2 linked regions of the Saccharomyces cerevisiae S288C genome follow. The protein of the gene in region 2 binds, or shares a complex with, the protein of the main gene of each other region. Each region holds a gene or a part of one and is shown on either strand. Other genes may lie near its edges. A codon is read from its position in the direction of its gene.

What was found.
Region 1: the proteins of RTT10 (region 2) and TRM7 are in contact, whole or in part, in a crystal structure (PDB 6JPL), measured with the Saccharomyces cerevisiae proteins. Residues at the interface, in NP_015142.1 of Saccharomyces cerevisiae: Leu11 (codon at 5,138), Tyr47 (codon at 5,030), Asn48 (codon at 5,027), Lys49 (codon at 5,024), His51 (codon at 5,018), Ala66 (codon at 4,973), Arg67 (codon at 4,970), Ser91 (codon at 4,898), Asp92 (codon at 4,895), Trp93 (codon at 4,892), Cys111 (codon at 4,838), Tyr112 (codon at 4,835), Lys114 (codon at 4,829), Ser129 (codon at 4,784), Leu130 (codon at 4,781), Gly132 (codon at 4,775), Glu133 (codon at 4,772), Arg134 (codon at 4,769), Ile136 (codon at 4,763), Tyr138 (codon at 4,757), Met158 (codon at 4,697), Phe183 (codon at 4,622), Arg223 (codon at 4,502), Trp225 (codon at 4,496), Ser273 (codon at 4,352), Trp275 (codon at 4,346), Asn291 (codon at 4,298), Arg658 (codon at 3,197), Glu685 (codon at 3,116), Thr835 (codon at 2,666); in NP_009617.3 of Saccharomyces cerevisiae: Leu84 (codon at 2,285), Pro127 (codon at 2,414), Asp128 (codon at 2,417), Val129 (codon at 2,420), Thr130 (codon at 2,423), Gly131 (codon at 2,426), Leu132 (codon at 2,429), His133 (codon at 2,432), Asp134 (codon at 2,435), Leu135 (codon at 2,438), Tyr138 (codon at 2,447), Val139 (codon at 2,450), Gln142 (codon at 2,459), Arg167 (codon at 2,534), Gly168 (codon at 2,537), Arg169 (codon at 2,540), Ile171 (codon at 2,546), Asp172 (codon at 2,549), Met173 (codon at 2,552), Tyr175 (codon at 2,558), Lys189 (codon at 2,600), Arg191 (codon at 2,606), Thr196 (codon at 2,621), Leu198 (codon at 2,627), Asn233 (codon at 2,732), Lys234 (codon at 2,735), Cys236 (codon at 2,741), Asp239 (codon at 2,750), Ser242 (codon at 2,759), Glu246 (codon at 2,771).

The regions. Positions count from the first base shown.
Region 1 is NC_001134.8:362,124-367,754, reverse strand, and holds TRM7 (tRNA methyltransferase TRM7), read left to right. Parts: upstream 1-2,035; coding exon 2,036-2,968; downstream 2,969-5,631. Other genes in the region: CNM1 (Cnm1p), read left to right, coding at 1-785; YBR062C (uncharacterized protein), read left to right, coding at 1,155-1,170, 1,253-1,779; ORC2 (origin recognition complex subunit 2), read left to right, coding at 5,241-5,631.
Region 2 is NC_001148.4:197,369-206,531, forward strand, and holds RTT10 (tRNA (34-2'-O)-methyltransferase regulator RTT10), read right to left. Parts: upstream 5,169-9,163; coding exon 2,127-5,168; downstream 1-2,126. Other genes in the region: MRN1 (Mrn1p), read right to left, coding at 1-420; mitochondrial 54S ribosomal protein bL36m RTC6, read left to right, coding at 1,727-2,008; CTI6 (Cti6p), read left to right, coding at 6,053-7,573; TCO89 (Tco89p), read left to right, coding at 7,880-9,163.

The sequences.
Region 1 (5,631 bases), on a different chromosome or scaffold from region 2:
ACTTTAATGAAGACTGCCTCAATAATCGAAGTGACGTTACCGAAGAGAGAAATTATGAGGAATCCACAGTTTTACATTCAAAGGAGTCAGTTCTCAGCATTGGTAGGCAAAATATGGTAACTTTGAACCAAAGCGATGAAAATTTCACCTATGGCAATTTTGATGAGTACGACTTATTAACTAAAGATTATACAACAGAGGTCTTAACGCGATCACCTGGCTCGAATCCCGAGTTTAAAGCAGTGGTAAATAATACATTACTTGATAGCGCGAATGAAACGCCGTTTAAAGGTATTGAAAAAAGTATTAACGAAACAATGGTTAAAGTTCCTATGGGATGCGATGTATCTCTCTCCCATTATGGCAGACAATACGCGCCTGGAAATATTTCAATTATGAGAAGCTTCACTGCTCGAGATAATACTAAATCTGTGAGTAGAGAAATTCGTGATATCTGTAAATCGTTTTTGATTATAAAAAGCCAATTTGGTGACGAACTTTTCCTGACTATGTTCATGGAAAAACCAGTTTTCTTTGATAACAACATCCCAATTGAAATAACTGGAGCATACCGAGAAAAACGAGAGCGATTAGATGAAGTGATTCATAAGGATCTTATCCGCTATGATGAAGTTCAAAATTTGACAAGGATTCGCAATTTGCTCCGGGTTAAAAGTCAAAAGATTTGTTCCAGGAGACATAATAGTTCGGTTCCCACAAAAAAATTGTTAGTTAATGATAAAGGCGCAACTTCGATTCTACTGTGGTACTCTAACTATTCATAGATAAAGTTTATTTGATACATAATCCGGAAAATGTAAGATATGCCAACTGTTAACTAGAAAACATCTGTACTCTATATATCGGAAACAAAAACTTTACGGGTACAACCATGATGAATAAGCTCGAAATTTTTGCCTTCCATATGAGTCCCATTTTGGTGACCAACTCTCCTACCCGAATTACTGTGATGATATATACTCTTCGTTTTCTAGTAATGGCTTCATTTTGCCTAAGTTGGTCAAAATTGTTGTGGGCGGCTTTTGTTTGCACCGAGGAGCGCTCAGTTCGTTATAATACCAGTTTTGCCACTCCTAAACTACTAAAGAAATAATAGAAAGATATATTCATCAAACATAATCACAATCAAAAAAATGTCTACATATGAAGGTATGTAATGATATATTATGAAGTAAGTTCCCCAAAGCCAATTAACTAACCGAATTTTAATCTGCACTCATCATTAGATTAGAGGAACATGGAATACAACAAAACTCAAGGGATTACCAAGAAGTAGGAGGAACTTCACAGGAGGAGCAGAGAAGACAGGTCAGATCCCAACTGCAAGGTCTATTTCAAAACTTTGGTAACACCAGTGGTGAGGGTGATGCACATTCAGATTCAACACTACTTTTACGATTATTATCGCAAATGCTTCCAGAATCATTACAGGAAGAATGGTTGCAAGAAATGGATAAAGGCAAGAGTGCGGGCTGTCCTGATACTTTTGCAGCCTCTTTACCACGAATCAATAAAAAAAAGCTCAAAGCAACTGACAACTGCTCCATTTGTTACACTAATTATTTAGAAGATGAGTACCCCTTAGTAGTTGAATTACCTCATTGCCATCATAAGTTCGACTTAGAGTGTTTGTCTGTCTGGCTATCTCGAAGTACAACATGTCCATTATGCAGAGATAATGTTATGGGCCACCGAATCATTAATGAGATTGATACAACTGAAGCAGAACTGGAAGAAGATTGGGGTATGTACGGTTAATATCTTTCTTTTATATTATATAAAGACACCAAACCTAAGTAGAATAGGTAACTACGTCTTCTTTCACAGAAGACAGACCTACAAGTATTTTGATTATCATGATGAAGTAAAAGCAACGATAAACTTTTTACTAGGTATTATTATTCTGCGCTAACAATAATTATCGCGAGTTGAAAATTTTCAAGCGATGCTCCTAACATTACTGTAAAACAACAGTAGATGAGTACAAGGCAAGCTTAAAAAGAAAGTATTCAAGATGGGTAAGAGCAGCAAAGATAAAAGAGATTTGTACTATAGAAAAGCAAAAGAGCAGGGCTATAGGGCTAGATCTGCTTTCAAACTACTTCAACTCAATGACCAATTTCATTTCCTGGATGATCCAAACTTAAAAAGAGTTGTAGATTTGTGTGCAGCACCAGGTTCATGGTCACAAGTGCTCTCGAGAAAACTGTTTGATGAAAGTCCCAGTTCAGATAAGGAGGACAGGAAAATTGTCTCTGTCGATTTACAACCGATGTCCCCCATACCTCATGTGACAACGTTGCAAGCCGATATCACTCATCCTAAAACATTGGCGAGGATTCTAAAACTGTTTGGCAACGAAAAGGCCGATTTTGTTTGTAGTGATGGTGCACCTGATGTTACTGGGTTACACGATCTTGACGAATACGTGCAACAACAGTTAATTATGAGTGCGCTGCAACTTACTGCATGCATTCTGAAAAAAGGTGGAACTTTTGTGGCAAAGATCTTCAGAGGTCGTGATATAGATATGCTATATTCCCAATTGGGCTATCTATTCGATAAAATCGTTTGCGCAAAGCCAAGATCATCAAGAGGTACATCTCTGGAAGCTTTTATTGTTTGTTTAGGCTATAACCCACCATCCAATTGGACACCAAAATTAGATGTAAATACATCCGTTGATGAATTTTTTCAAGGCTGTTTTTTGAATAAATTGTGTATATCAGACAAATTGTCTCATTGGAATGAAGAGGAGAGAAACATAGCCGAATTTATGGCTTGTGGAAGTCTTCAAAGTTTCGACTCAGATGCCACTTATCATGACCTACCTTCTTCGGTTGCAGGCACTTCATCGTCCTTAGATCCTGTTCAAAGCCCGACGAACCCTCCCTACAAGAAAGCTTTGGAATTAAAAAGGAGCGGGAAACTCACTAGATCAGTTTGATTGCAATATTACTACCTCTAATCAAACAATTAAATAAGTCACTACATTATAAGATTATCTACAAAATCAACTTTTCCTTGCAATCATTAAAAACGATATAGGTTACGGTTATGTAGAATATCCATTGTATAATATAAAAGAAAATGAAACAGTAATTATATTATATTATATTACATGCAAGCATTGAGGAGTATGGCAATCATTTTTCTTCTTTTTTACTTCACCTCGTCTCTTAAAACATCTGCTTTCGAATTTGCGAGTAATAGAACTTTCGAATTGTGACAGAACCATTGAGAACATGGTGAATCTGTCAATATTACAACCCAAAAGCCGGTTGGTGGTAAACCGTAGTACGGAGCATTACAAAGGATTCCATCGTATAAATTATGCATAAGCATCACCTTGATCCATTTGCCTTGCTCCTATTGCCCTGCTTGTTTGTAGGAAAGCCCCTTTTGGTCAAACGAATTGTTCAGTTCGGGTTTACGCATTACATATCTCCTTTTTAGATACAAAAACCTCGAAACGCTCACATAAACCCGGTTGTTCTTTTGAGTACCTGGCCAATGGAGACATAGCTTGGGGTTAAGTAAAAGTGAAAGTCAGGTTGATACATGTGCCTTTTATTCCACCGAAGAAAGCTTATCCAACATAAGAGCATTATTTAATGGGCTTTCCAATTTATTATTGGCATACACTTCTTTCAAAAATTCGCCGGTCTCAACGGCAGCAAGTGCTCAGCAGATGGAAATTATACGTTAATACTTTTTCCAATGTGATATAACGAAAAATTAGATACTGTGAATTGTGTTTGCCACCTTGATGTTGACTTAGTATTTCCTCTCGGTTGTAAAAGCCAAGAAGGTTTGACTGTTCGTCAATTAAGGTTCTTACGTGGGTTGTGCTAGATACGACGCGAATCAGTATGGTTTCTATCTGCCAATCATATCGGTTCTCTTCCATGGGCTAGAACAGATGAATTCTAGCTCTTTTTTAGCTGGACCAGTAAGGTTCAAATGGTATTTGATAATAGAGAATCACATATCTCCTTGTCCATTTCTGAAAGTATTAATTCAGTCATATCCAACTAGTCACAAACATCCGCATAGGCTTGATAAAACTCACAAGTGGCAGATTCCGAATTATGTGTCATATTGGGGTCATATTAGGACCTTCATTTCAGAATTGCTTCTGCTCCAATAAACTTTTTTTGATCCAAAAATCGTCTGATATAACGGGCGATGTCAATTGAATAATAAAACGGGTTCTATCTATTTTCTTGATCTTTGAAACCAAAACAGTTAGCAGGCAAGTGCAAACAAGTTGTCAATTGCACTCTGTTAACGAAAAAAATATATCTCATCTCCGCCGGTCTTCTTTGGTGGATATATATTACTCCTCCTTAAAGGTCATGCTCCTTTTTATGGGTTCTCGTCGTAATAATCCTGAAATTGTAAAATAATTTAGAGCTCAACACCACCATTGAGAACGTAGAATTTCAATTTTTAAGCTGATTCTCTTTCTGCATGAACTCTCCTAGCAATGTGAAACTTCTCTTAAGGGAAATTTTCGCCTTTTTGAATGGGCATACTTGGCCAAAAATTCAGGATTGAATATATATAATCGGAACTTGTATGGATAAAAATTTATATCAAGAGTCTGTTTCTTAATTGGATTTGCTGTGATCTAGTATTGAGATGACTATAAACCGGCCAGGAAATTAGTCTTTTCGAAGCTGGTTTTGGTTTCGCAAGAGTCTTTTTGACAGCTTTTTGGCCTCAATTTGTATTCCCTTAATACGCTTCTTCAACTCTGTCTTAGAGACCATTTCTCCAGTGGCCTCATCTAGGTGTAAACTAGCAATAGCGTCACTAGCTGCCGTGACATTAACTTGCTGTGGCACCTTTATATGTAATATGAACCATCTTTCAATGGATCATAAGAATAAGTGTCGTAAAAGGCCAAATATCCATGCATAAATATCGACTTATTCGCGTAAATGTGATATGGATCAGCTAGTACCAATTTCTAGTCTAGCAAAATCGGGAAAATTTTTCAGAACACCCACTCACCGCATCATTGAGGTGGAAATGACAATAGTAAGCAGAATTGTTATTCTTCACAATGTGTAAAAGTTATAAAGAAATAGGAACCACCTTTAAATTAAGACAAAGTAGAATATATTAGCTGAAATTGTATTTGATAATTGATCATTGATCTTATTTGCTATATCTTTAAAACAAGTTTTTGTAGTACTGCGAATTGCCATAACATGCTAAATGGGGAAGACTTTGTAGAGCATAATGATATCCTATCGTCTCCGGCAAAAAGCAGGAATGTAACCCCAAAAAGGGTTGACCCACATGGAGAAAGACAACTGAGAAGAATTCATTCATCAAAGAAGAATTTGTTGGAAAGAATCTCGCTTGTAGGCAACGAAAGGAAAAATACATCTCCAGATCCGGCACTCAAACCTAAAACGCCAAGTAAAGCTCCCCGTAAACGTGGAAGACCAAGAAAGATACAGGAAGAATTAACTGATAGGATCAAGAAGGATGAGAAAGATACAATTTCCTCTAAGAAAAAGAGGAAATTGGACAAAGATACATCAGGTAATGTCAATGAGGAAAGCAAGACTTCTAACAACAAGCAGGTGATGGAAA
Region 2 (9,163 bases):
ATAACGATTGTTATTGTGGACAACTTCGTTATCAATTTCGAAATTTTGTTCCTGTGAAAACCGTTGCTGTTGTGAATCATTTCGCTGCTTTGTCTGGAATTGAGTTGGTTGCTGTTGAATACGCTGATAATCAAAAATTCCGTCATTCTCGTAAAAGAACGAATCATTAGGCTCTCGTGTAAAGTCGGATGGTAAAAGAGTAAAATTACCATTCATAGGATACACAGCATCGCCAAAGTTTTGAGGGCCACTCGCATAAGTTTCTTGGTAAGGGCCGGAAGAACTGGACTGTTGATACATTGCAAAGTCATCGGAAGAAGGAAAAGGAGGGAACATGTTATTATTGTTATTATTATTACTGATATTATTATTGTTATTGTTATTGTTATTGTTATTATTATTGTTATAAGAAACCACCATGTTTTAATGCAATTGAAGTAGTATGTGATGGTGAAGAAAAAAAAAAATACAACGATAGTTCTTTGTTTTTCTTTAGGAAATATCTGAATAGAAAAGGCTTCAACGACCAGAATTGAAAAAATAAAATAGTATTAGCAAAGAAAAATATGATATTTTTTTTCAAAAAAAAAAAGAGTGTCCTTGAGAATTGAAGTTGGAAACGGATATTAATTAGACAAAAAAAATGATGAAGAAAGATAAAGTGAAAAATATGAGGCTGGAATGGACAGTTGAACCAATTAAGGAGCCTAATTGGTAAAGCAGAACAGGTGAGTCAGAAGACTTAAAAAGGGGCAAATATCAAATAACGGAAGAACGAAGAAAATAGAAGAATACAATGTTCAAAAGAAATGAAGCGTATGTGTATCTAAAGGAAAGGTACAGAGACTATCAGTTCTAGAAATTGTAAATTGGTAAAATAAACAGAGAAAGGAAGCTTAAGGAGAGAATTCAGTGGGGAATGTGACTCTGTGAAAATAATGTATAAGAGTGGGCAACGGTGTTCTCGTAGATATAGCGCTGTGCTGAACCAAGTTTAGTTTTTTTTACTTTCCACCAAAGGCAAAGAAACTGATTAATTTATTGCTGTGACGAAGGGATGGAGTATGATTGCGGTTGTGACTGAATCTCTTTGTAGACTTTCGGACAACCACAAGATCCACTTTCTGGTAAAGTTAATTTCAAGATCGTGTTTTTTTCTGTCTTTTCTTTCTCTTCTCATAGCCAAAATCGTACCACAAGGAAAAAAAGCACCGGGTTACCATGATGGTGGAATCCCACTGTAAGAACATAAGAATGATAAGTACGCAACTGCCACGGCAGTTGGAAGAAAGACATAGTCTGCCCTCATTCGGCGTGTATTATTGGACGTCAAGTTACCTTTTCCAAGTGTTTCCCTTTTTTGTCTTTTGAATTTGTCAATAGGGAGTGAAAGGTCCATAGTTCAAGGGCATTCCAAAAGTGAGGATAAAAAAAGCGTAGTCATAAACACTTCAACGGTGTTGCCGAGAATGACGACGGTCCGGTAGAAGGTGGTGCTTTTATCTATGTATTAGTTATTTACTATCTGCGTAACGAAACTATGATTTTTTTTTTCTCTCACCCAAGCCGAAATTAAAAATTCTGTCTTCGCACTTATTCCAAATAGAAAGGGAATGAATCGTGGAACTATTGGCATTGGGATATAGCCTCGATCTACTCGCATATAACGGCTACGGTTCATAGTACAAATCTCAGAATTTTTCAGCAAGCGAAAGGATTTCAAAGAATGTTTTTACAGACTCTCCGCCTAACTATGCCAAGGATGTTTTTGCACATGAAACCGTCCCCCATAACGATAACAAGGGCCTGCACAGTGCCCAGCCTCCTATCTGTTGCAGCTCCGCAACCAGCTCTTGTTGCAGCTAACAGACCTTTGGTTTTTAACAGAGGTTTCAAGGTCAGAACATCTGTCAAAAAGTTCTGCAGTGATTGCTACTTGGTAAGAAGAAAGGGAAGAGTATACATTTATTGCAAGTCGAATAAAAAACACAAACAGCGTCAAGGCTGAAAGATGTAAATCTCTTCGCTGTTCTCCGTTCGGGTGTTTACAAAATATTCTCATTTTCTAAAATCTGTAAATAATACATATCTATAATATTCTTTTATGTATATGTTAATTTTTTGTATCATTTTTTCCAAATTGATAAACCAACACCTCCGATCAGTAACGTTTTCTCAGAATCAGCATCTTCATCATTGGAAATGATTTCTAATGATCCTGTATCCGCCACAGTGGTACGCTTTTTATCTACCAGTGAAAGCTTGCCTGCGGTAATTTCCCAAGCGCGTATTACTTGATCAACCGATGTGGTAATGACTTCTTTGCCACCATTAATCAACATACCGGACGTTATTGTCGAAGAAGCTGCTGCAGCGATAAAGTCACTTGTTTTTAACGTTACTTTATTCGAGTCATCTAATTTCAGGTTGCTTAACCCTAAACCATTATCATCACCCCCTGTCAAAATTGTGGCGGAAGTTCTTGTAGCATTAGCAACATAGTCTAGGGACTTGACACCAGATTGATGTACCGGCAACTGCGCTACAGGTGCGGGAAGATTTGAGATAGTAGCGTCCAGTTTGTGGTCAACCAAATCGCCAGAAATCGGATCAACGGAAAATGGTACGTACTCGGTTATATTATAAACCACTAAATGTCCATCAGTTGGTGAAATGACAACAAGGAGCTCTTCTTTCAGTGCAATAAATACGACGTTGAATAAACAGCACGTCTTATAACGACCTTGCATGATCAGGTCAAACTTATTCTGATTTTCCCTATAGTGCCAAATCTTTATTGTTGAATCTGAATAAACAGTAACTAATAAGAAGTCACCTGACTGTGATATAAATTTGACATCAAAATCCATGATCCTTAGATCAGAATTATTTGTGGATACAGGTAAAGCTTGTCGTATGGTCATATATGGTCGTTTATTATACTTATCGTTCAATTCCCATAAGAATAACTCCTCTCTAGCTGAAGATGATATCATTAGTTTGTGATTTATAAACTGACAACGTTGTAATCCAGACACATGCTTTCTTTGTGTCCAAAAATTCTGCACCTTCCCTGTTCTATTGTTAAAATATCCCAGCTTAATTGTAGTATCTTCAGATGCAGTACAGAATATATGCCCATCCTTAAAATTGTCATTCGTGTTGGTATTTGAAACAGGACAGATTGAAATATCTCTGATTTCCCTTCCGTGTACACCATTTTCTAAAGTTTCAGGCACAATGGAGTTGTAAATTTTCCTTAAATGAAATCGGGATGCCTTAATATACATTAATACGTGGCCATCAGTAATTTTTGCGAGATTCCACAGACGATGGGAACCACCACAAACTTCACTAGCTAGTTCATAACAGTTGGTTTCATTGTAGAGATAAAACAAGCTGGACTTGAACCCATAAGTAATGTATTCACCTTTTGAATTAAAGAAAGCGCCCTCCAAGAAACCTTTCATCATCTTATTAGAATGCAAGACCTTATAACTTAGTCGGTAGGGACCCTCTTCCAAACTGTTTTTCGTCAACTCAATAAATACATAATAGCCATCCCTATTTGTTACTGAGAAGACCGCAGAGTTGTCTTTATCTTCTACAAATTCGATTGAGGTTGTAGTGTCTCCGGGACTTAATCTCCTAATTATGAAGGGCTCCTCGCTCTCATCAAGTAAGTTGTAGATTACTAATGTACTAAAACGTGAGCCGACTAAAATATGATTTCGGAAGGAGGTCAAACATGAGGAAGAAAAATTTTCCGGCTTATTGAAACAGTGCTTGCTTTTAATTTTTAAGTTCTGAAGGCTTATTTCCAAACATACAAACTTCTCTCGAGGATTTGGGGATTGTAAAGTCAATAGGAAGGAGTCATCATCGTATTCTGTAACGAGACAGTTATTTGTCTTAGAAAGCTCATCTAAATGGAATTCTTCGGTCTCAATTATGTCAGCGCTATCTTTGCTAAATTTGATAAGAAGGATGTCACTTTTATTATTGGAAAAGACAGCGATATTTTGCGTTTGAATCCCATTTGTAATTGGATACGAGTTGAATTTTTCATTTGTTAGTAACAACTTCCATTGTTTCGTGACATCACTGTATTTAAGTATTTTACCCAATGAAGTGATAGCAATTACACCGAATGAAAACCATTGAAATCCCTTGATACTTTCATTCTTTTCGAAAATATCGCCACATTGCTTTGCGATATCATCTAGACTGAACGATGTTTCTTCATCGCCGTGTCTCTTCAGTTGAAGAAGATCAATCAGCTTTAACCTACCATCATTCCCGGAGGTTACAGCTATCATTTCGTCGTCTTTCACATCAACGCCCCATATACTCTTGATTAAATGTACTTCGTAAACGTTAGATATGGATAATTCGGCAACGTTTTCTCGTGATTCGATAATGTTCCATACACGGCATGTGCAATCTTCAGAAACACTTATTAGTTTTGAATCATTATCAAAAAACATTAAATTCCATATTCTTGCCGTATGGCTCCAGCCAACAGACAGCTGCTTGCCAGTTTCTAAATCCCACAGTCTAATTGATCTGTCGTCAGAGCAACTGGCAACATATCTTCCGTTGTTGCTTAAATTAACATAAAAGATAGAACCTTCATGACCCAGTAAGTTATGAATTTTTGTCTCCGAGAACAGGTCCCAAATGATAACACCGCCCATTACAGTACCAGCGTTAACATATACTTTATCCGGACCGAAAACTTTAATTATACCGGAATATAGAATAGATCTTTCTCCCCCAAGAGACTTCCTAAAAAGAACTTCACAATTTAAATCACAAATTAGCACTTTATTATAACATGTTAACAAATATATTTGCAAGTTGTCAAAGCTGAATGTAGCACCGGTAATCCAATCTGAGTTAATCCTTTCGAAATCCACCAATGACTCTTTCTTTAAAACGTCTTCAAGTTCCACTATTGTTACTGATCTTGCACCATAGGCCAAAATTTTCCCTTCACTAGAAAGGCTAAGTCCATGAACTTTATTGTAGTGAAATAGCCTACATTTGTTAATCAACGTAGCCGAATGATAGTCATAGACATGGATGAAAGGCCCATAACCAGCTAGAACATAATCATTGTAAAATTTAACACATAGCGCAGGACCATAATGAGACAAGTCCTTCATTTTAATCACTTATTCTTCTTCAATGAGCAACTTCAATTGGCGGGAATGAGAAGCTAAATAACGATGAGGTCCGCTAGCAGAAGTTTTTTCATGCTCATATTTTTCCACTTTTTTTTTCTTACATTTTTTTTTTCAGCAGCGTCGTTTTTTGTGAGACGCCGATGTGTATGCTAGGCTTAAATCTATCATTCAGACCCCAGTGTAAAACATAAGCGGTGAAAAGTACGTAGGGTAGTATACAACTCACCAAAGCACGACTACGTGAAAATGACCCTGAGAGTATCATCAATGTTATCGGCTGTATAAATAATACACCAGAACAAATTCCTCTTAAAGATGTAGGCAAGACCAGACTCAGTTTCTCTGAGCAGTACCTTCAATTTTCAATTTTTGATAGATGTTCGTCACTAATATTTTTTTATTGAGTTAAGTTCACCCACTTCTGGCACTTCTTATAACCTTGATAATTAAAAAGACCTCGGCGGTTATTTTTTATTTTGAGCAGTTATAAAGGGCATTACCCTCATCATCTTGCGGAAATAGGACGGAGCACGTCGCAGACAGGCTTTAACGTAATCAATTAGTTTTGAAAAATTTCTCCGCTATGGGTAAACTAGGTAAACCGCACAGCACAATCAGCTGCATTTTCTATTTTCAATTTTCTATTGGTGGCTTTTCACTGCATGATCAAAAAATAACGTTTTGTTGATTAGTTTTTTCTTTTTTGTTCTTGTTGGTTTTCGTATATGAATTTTATGTAACTGGGTATTTACAGGGGTACAAAGTTCACAACAGAGACCATCAATAGTTTGTTTCCTTCGAAGTTTACTTTGCGTAACCTTACTAAAAGATAGCATAAACATATAGGAGTATAGAGAAGAGTAATGGAATCGACAGCAATAGTGCCTAAAGGCCCTGTTGTGGGTAGTGAAGATATGGAGAAAGCGGAAGTCATTGCTAGTGGGTCCACAGACATTATATCAACAACATCAACAGCGACAACAACGGCGGCGATTGGAAGTGTACAGGAAGAAAGTGTAAAACAAGAAGATGTTCCTATGGAAGGTGGAGAGGGGGAAGTCGAGGAAGAGGAAGGCGAAACTCGCTGTATCTGTGGAGAGCTCGATACTCCAGATGACTCCGGATTTTTCATTCAATGTGAGCAGTGCAGTTCCTGGCAGCACGGTTATTGTGTGAGTATTACTCAAGACAACGCACCTGATAAATATTGGTGCGAGCAATGCAGACCGGAGTTACATCAGCTCTTTACCACAGATACTGGCGAAGCAAGGTCAATCTATAAACCTGTGCAAGAGAAAAGGAGGCAATCAAGAAGGAAGGCACGAAGTGCAGCTGCAAGTAAATCTCATGCCGCCAATGAAGCAGAGAAAAGTCCCAGAAATACCAGCAATACCGATGATAACGTCGACGATATCGGCGACGAAGAAGATGAAGTAGAAGATGAAGCTTCGGCTGTAGCATTAGCCAAGGACGGCAACACGAGGTCAAGTAGAAGGAGGAGGAGGAATTCAATGGATGATGCTTCTACCGATCAGTATTCACTGGATCCTGGAGATAGTGATAAGAAGCTACTGGATAGAAAAAGGGCAACTTTCATGGCAAGAGAAGAAAAGCAATATCAAAGAATGCTTGAAAAAGCCTTGAAAGAAAGCAGGAGGACATCACATCAAGAAGATCCTGAAAGTTATGAAAATGATGCTGATATATACCAAGGTGATACCGACAATCACAACGGCACCACTCGATTACAAACGGATGTTATGCTAACGGAAGGCAAACCGGACTCGGTAACAAATGATGATATGAAAGAAAGCCTACGACCATCGAAAGAGCAATCAATGGAAAAAACAAATGATGTGGAAAAAGAAGCTAGTCAAGAAAAGGAATCTTCTACGGGTTCGGCGCAAGACACTGAGAAAACTGATGAACCCATCCTACCCCTAACCTCAATATCTTCTTCTGAGGATGATTCAAGGAAAGCTAGTTCGAGGGGTTCTAAAAGAGTTTCCAAACCAGCAAGAAAGGGCAACAGAACTCGTCGAAGCAATACAAGTTCAGACACCAACCAAAATAGAAGGAGTGCTGATATAGGTACCGACAAACCAGTAAAGCCCAGATTACCCCCTCAAAGGACCTCATTAAACGAAATGAGAAGAAGGGTATCCGCTATTTTGGAGTTCATTTCTAGAACTCAATGGGAATTGAGTGAAGATCAGTCTGATCGAGAGGAATTTGTACGATTCGTGGAAAACCAGCATTTCGTAGAAAAAGTTGATACGATTTACAACGGTTATAATGAAAGTCTATCAATGATGGACGACCTGACTAGAGAGTTACTACTATGGGAGAAAAAATATTCAAATAACACTAATGCCATTCAATAAACGCAAAACACTGCAATATTATTCTCAACCAAAGTATAACTGTAATGAGGCGAACAAACACATCTATACATATATATACATCTATATGGATATAAAAACGACTAATTCAACGTTGTTTTTATCAACCGAGCTTACTCTTGTACGGGTAACCGCAAGGATAGCTAGTTGCGGATGGTATAGCGATTTGGCTGGCACGATGATTAAGGAATCCAAACATCTAATGGACTAGCACATTCTATCGATTTACGGGTCAGGTAAACATAGATATTGGGATATATCATATATCCTTACTGAGTAACTATAATTATGGTTCATCGAGGAAGGACTTTGAAGTCAGACACTGATGTAACATCTCTTAATGCGTCAACAGTATCACACCAGTCAAAGCCATTTAGACAGTTTTCGACTAGGTCGAGAGCAAAGAGTAACGCAAGCTTCAAAGGTTTGCGTAGAGTTTTAACACATGATGGCACCCTGGATAATGATTATTTTAATAAGCACAACGTTTCTCAGAAATGCAAGAGTTCTGATGCACTTTTCAGAAAGCGAACGATTAGTGGGTTGAATATGACAGCTTTAACAAGAGTAAAGTCCAATCAAGGAAAAAGATCAGCATCCTTTCATAGTCCGGTGCATAATACGCTGCTCAGTCCAAAGAACAGCAGTCATTCTAATACTGGAACTGCTGGTTTCGGCCTGAAACCACGAAGAAGTAAAAGTACCCAATCTGTTCTGAGTCTTCGAGATGCGCAAGAATCTAAAAAGAGTGAATCTACTACTGACGAGGAGGTGGAATGTTTTTCGGAAGACAACATTGAAGATGGAAAGGTGAATAATGATAAAGTAATAGCCGAGCATGTTATGCCTGAAGAAAAAAAGAATGTGCAGCAATTAAATCAGAATGAATTACAATCCCCGGATTCAATAGATGAACAAGAAGAAGATAAATCAGGTACTGATGGAAAGGAAAATCATAGAGCTGTATCCTTACCATTACCTCATTTATCTTCCAATAACTATTTCGGAGAATCAAGCCATTCTATAGAACATCAGAAAGATGGAGAAACATCTCCAAGCTCAATTGAAACAAAACTGAATGCAACAAGTGTAATCAATGAAGAGGGGCAATCAAAGGTGACGAAGGAAGCTGATATTGATGACTTGTCCAGCCATTCTCAAAATTTGAGGGCCTCATTGGTTAAAGCGGGCGATAATATATCAGAAGCACCATATGATAAAGAAAAAAAAATTCTTGATGTTGGTAATACCTTAGCTGCACATAAAAGTAATCAAAAACCAAGTCATTCAGATGAACAGTTTGATCAGGAAGATCACATTGATGCCCCTAGGAGTAATTCATCAAGAAAAAGCGACTCGAGCTTTATGTCTCTTAGGAGACAAAGTTCTAAACAACACAAATTATTAAACGAAGAAGAAGATCTAATCAAGCCTGATGATATTTCTTCCGCTGGTACCAAGGATATTGAAGGGCATAGCTTACTGGAAAATTATGCGCCTAATATGATTCTCTCCCAGTCGACTGGAGTTGAACGTAGATTTGAAAATTCATCATCCATCCAAAATTCGCTT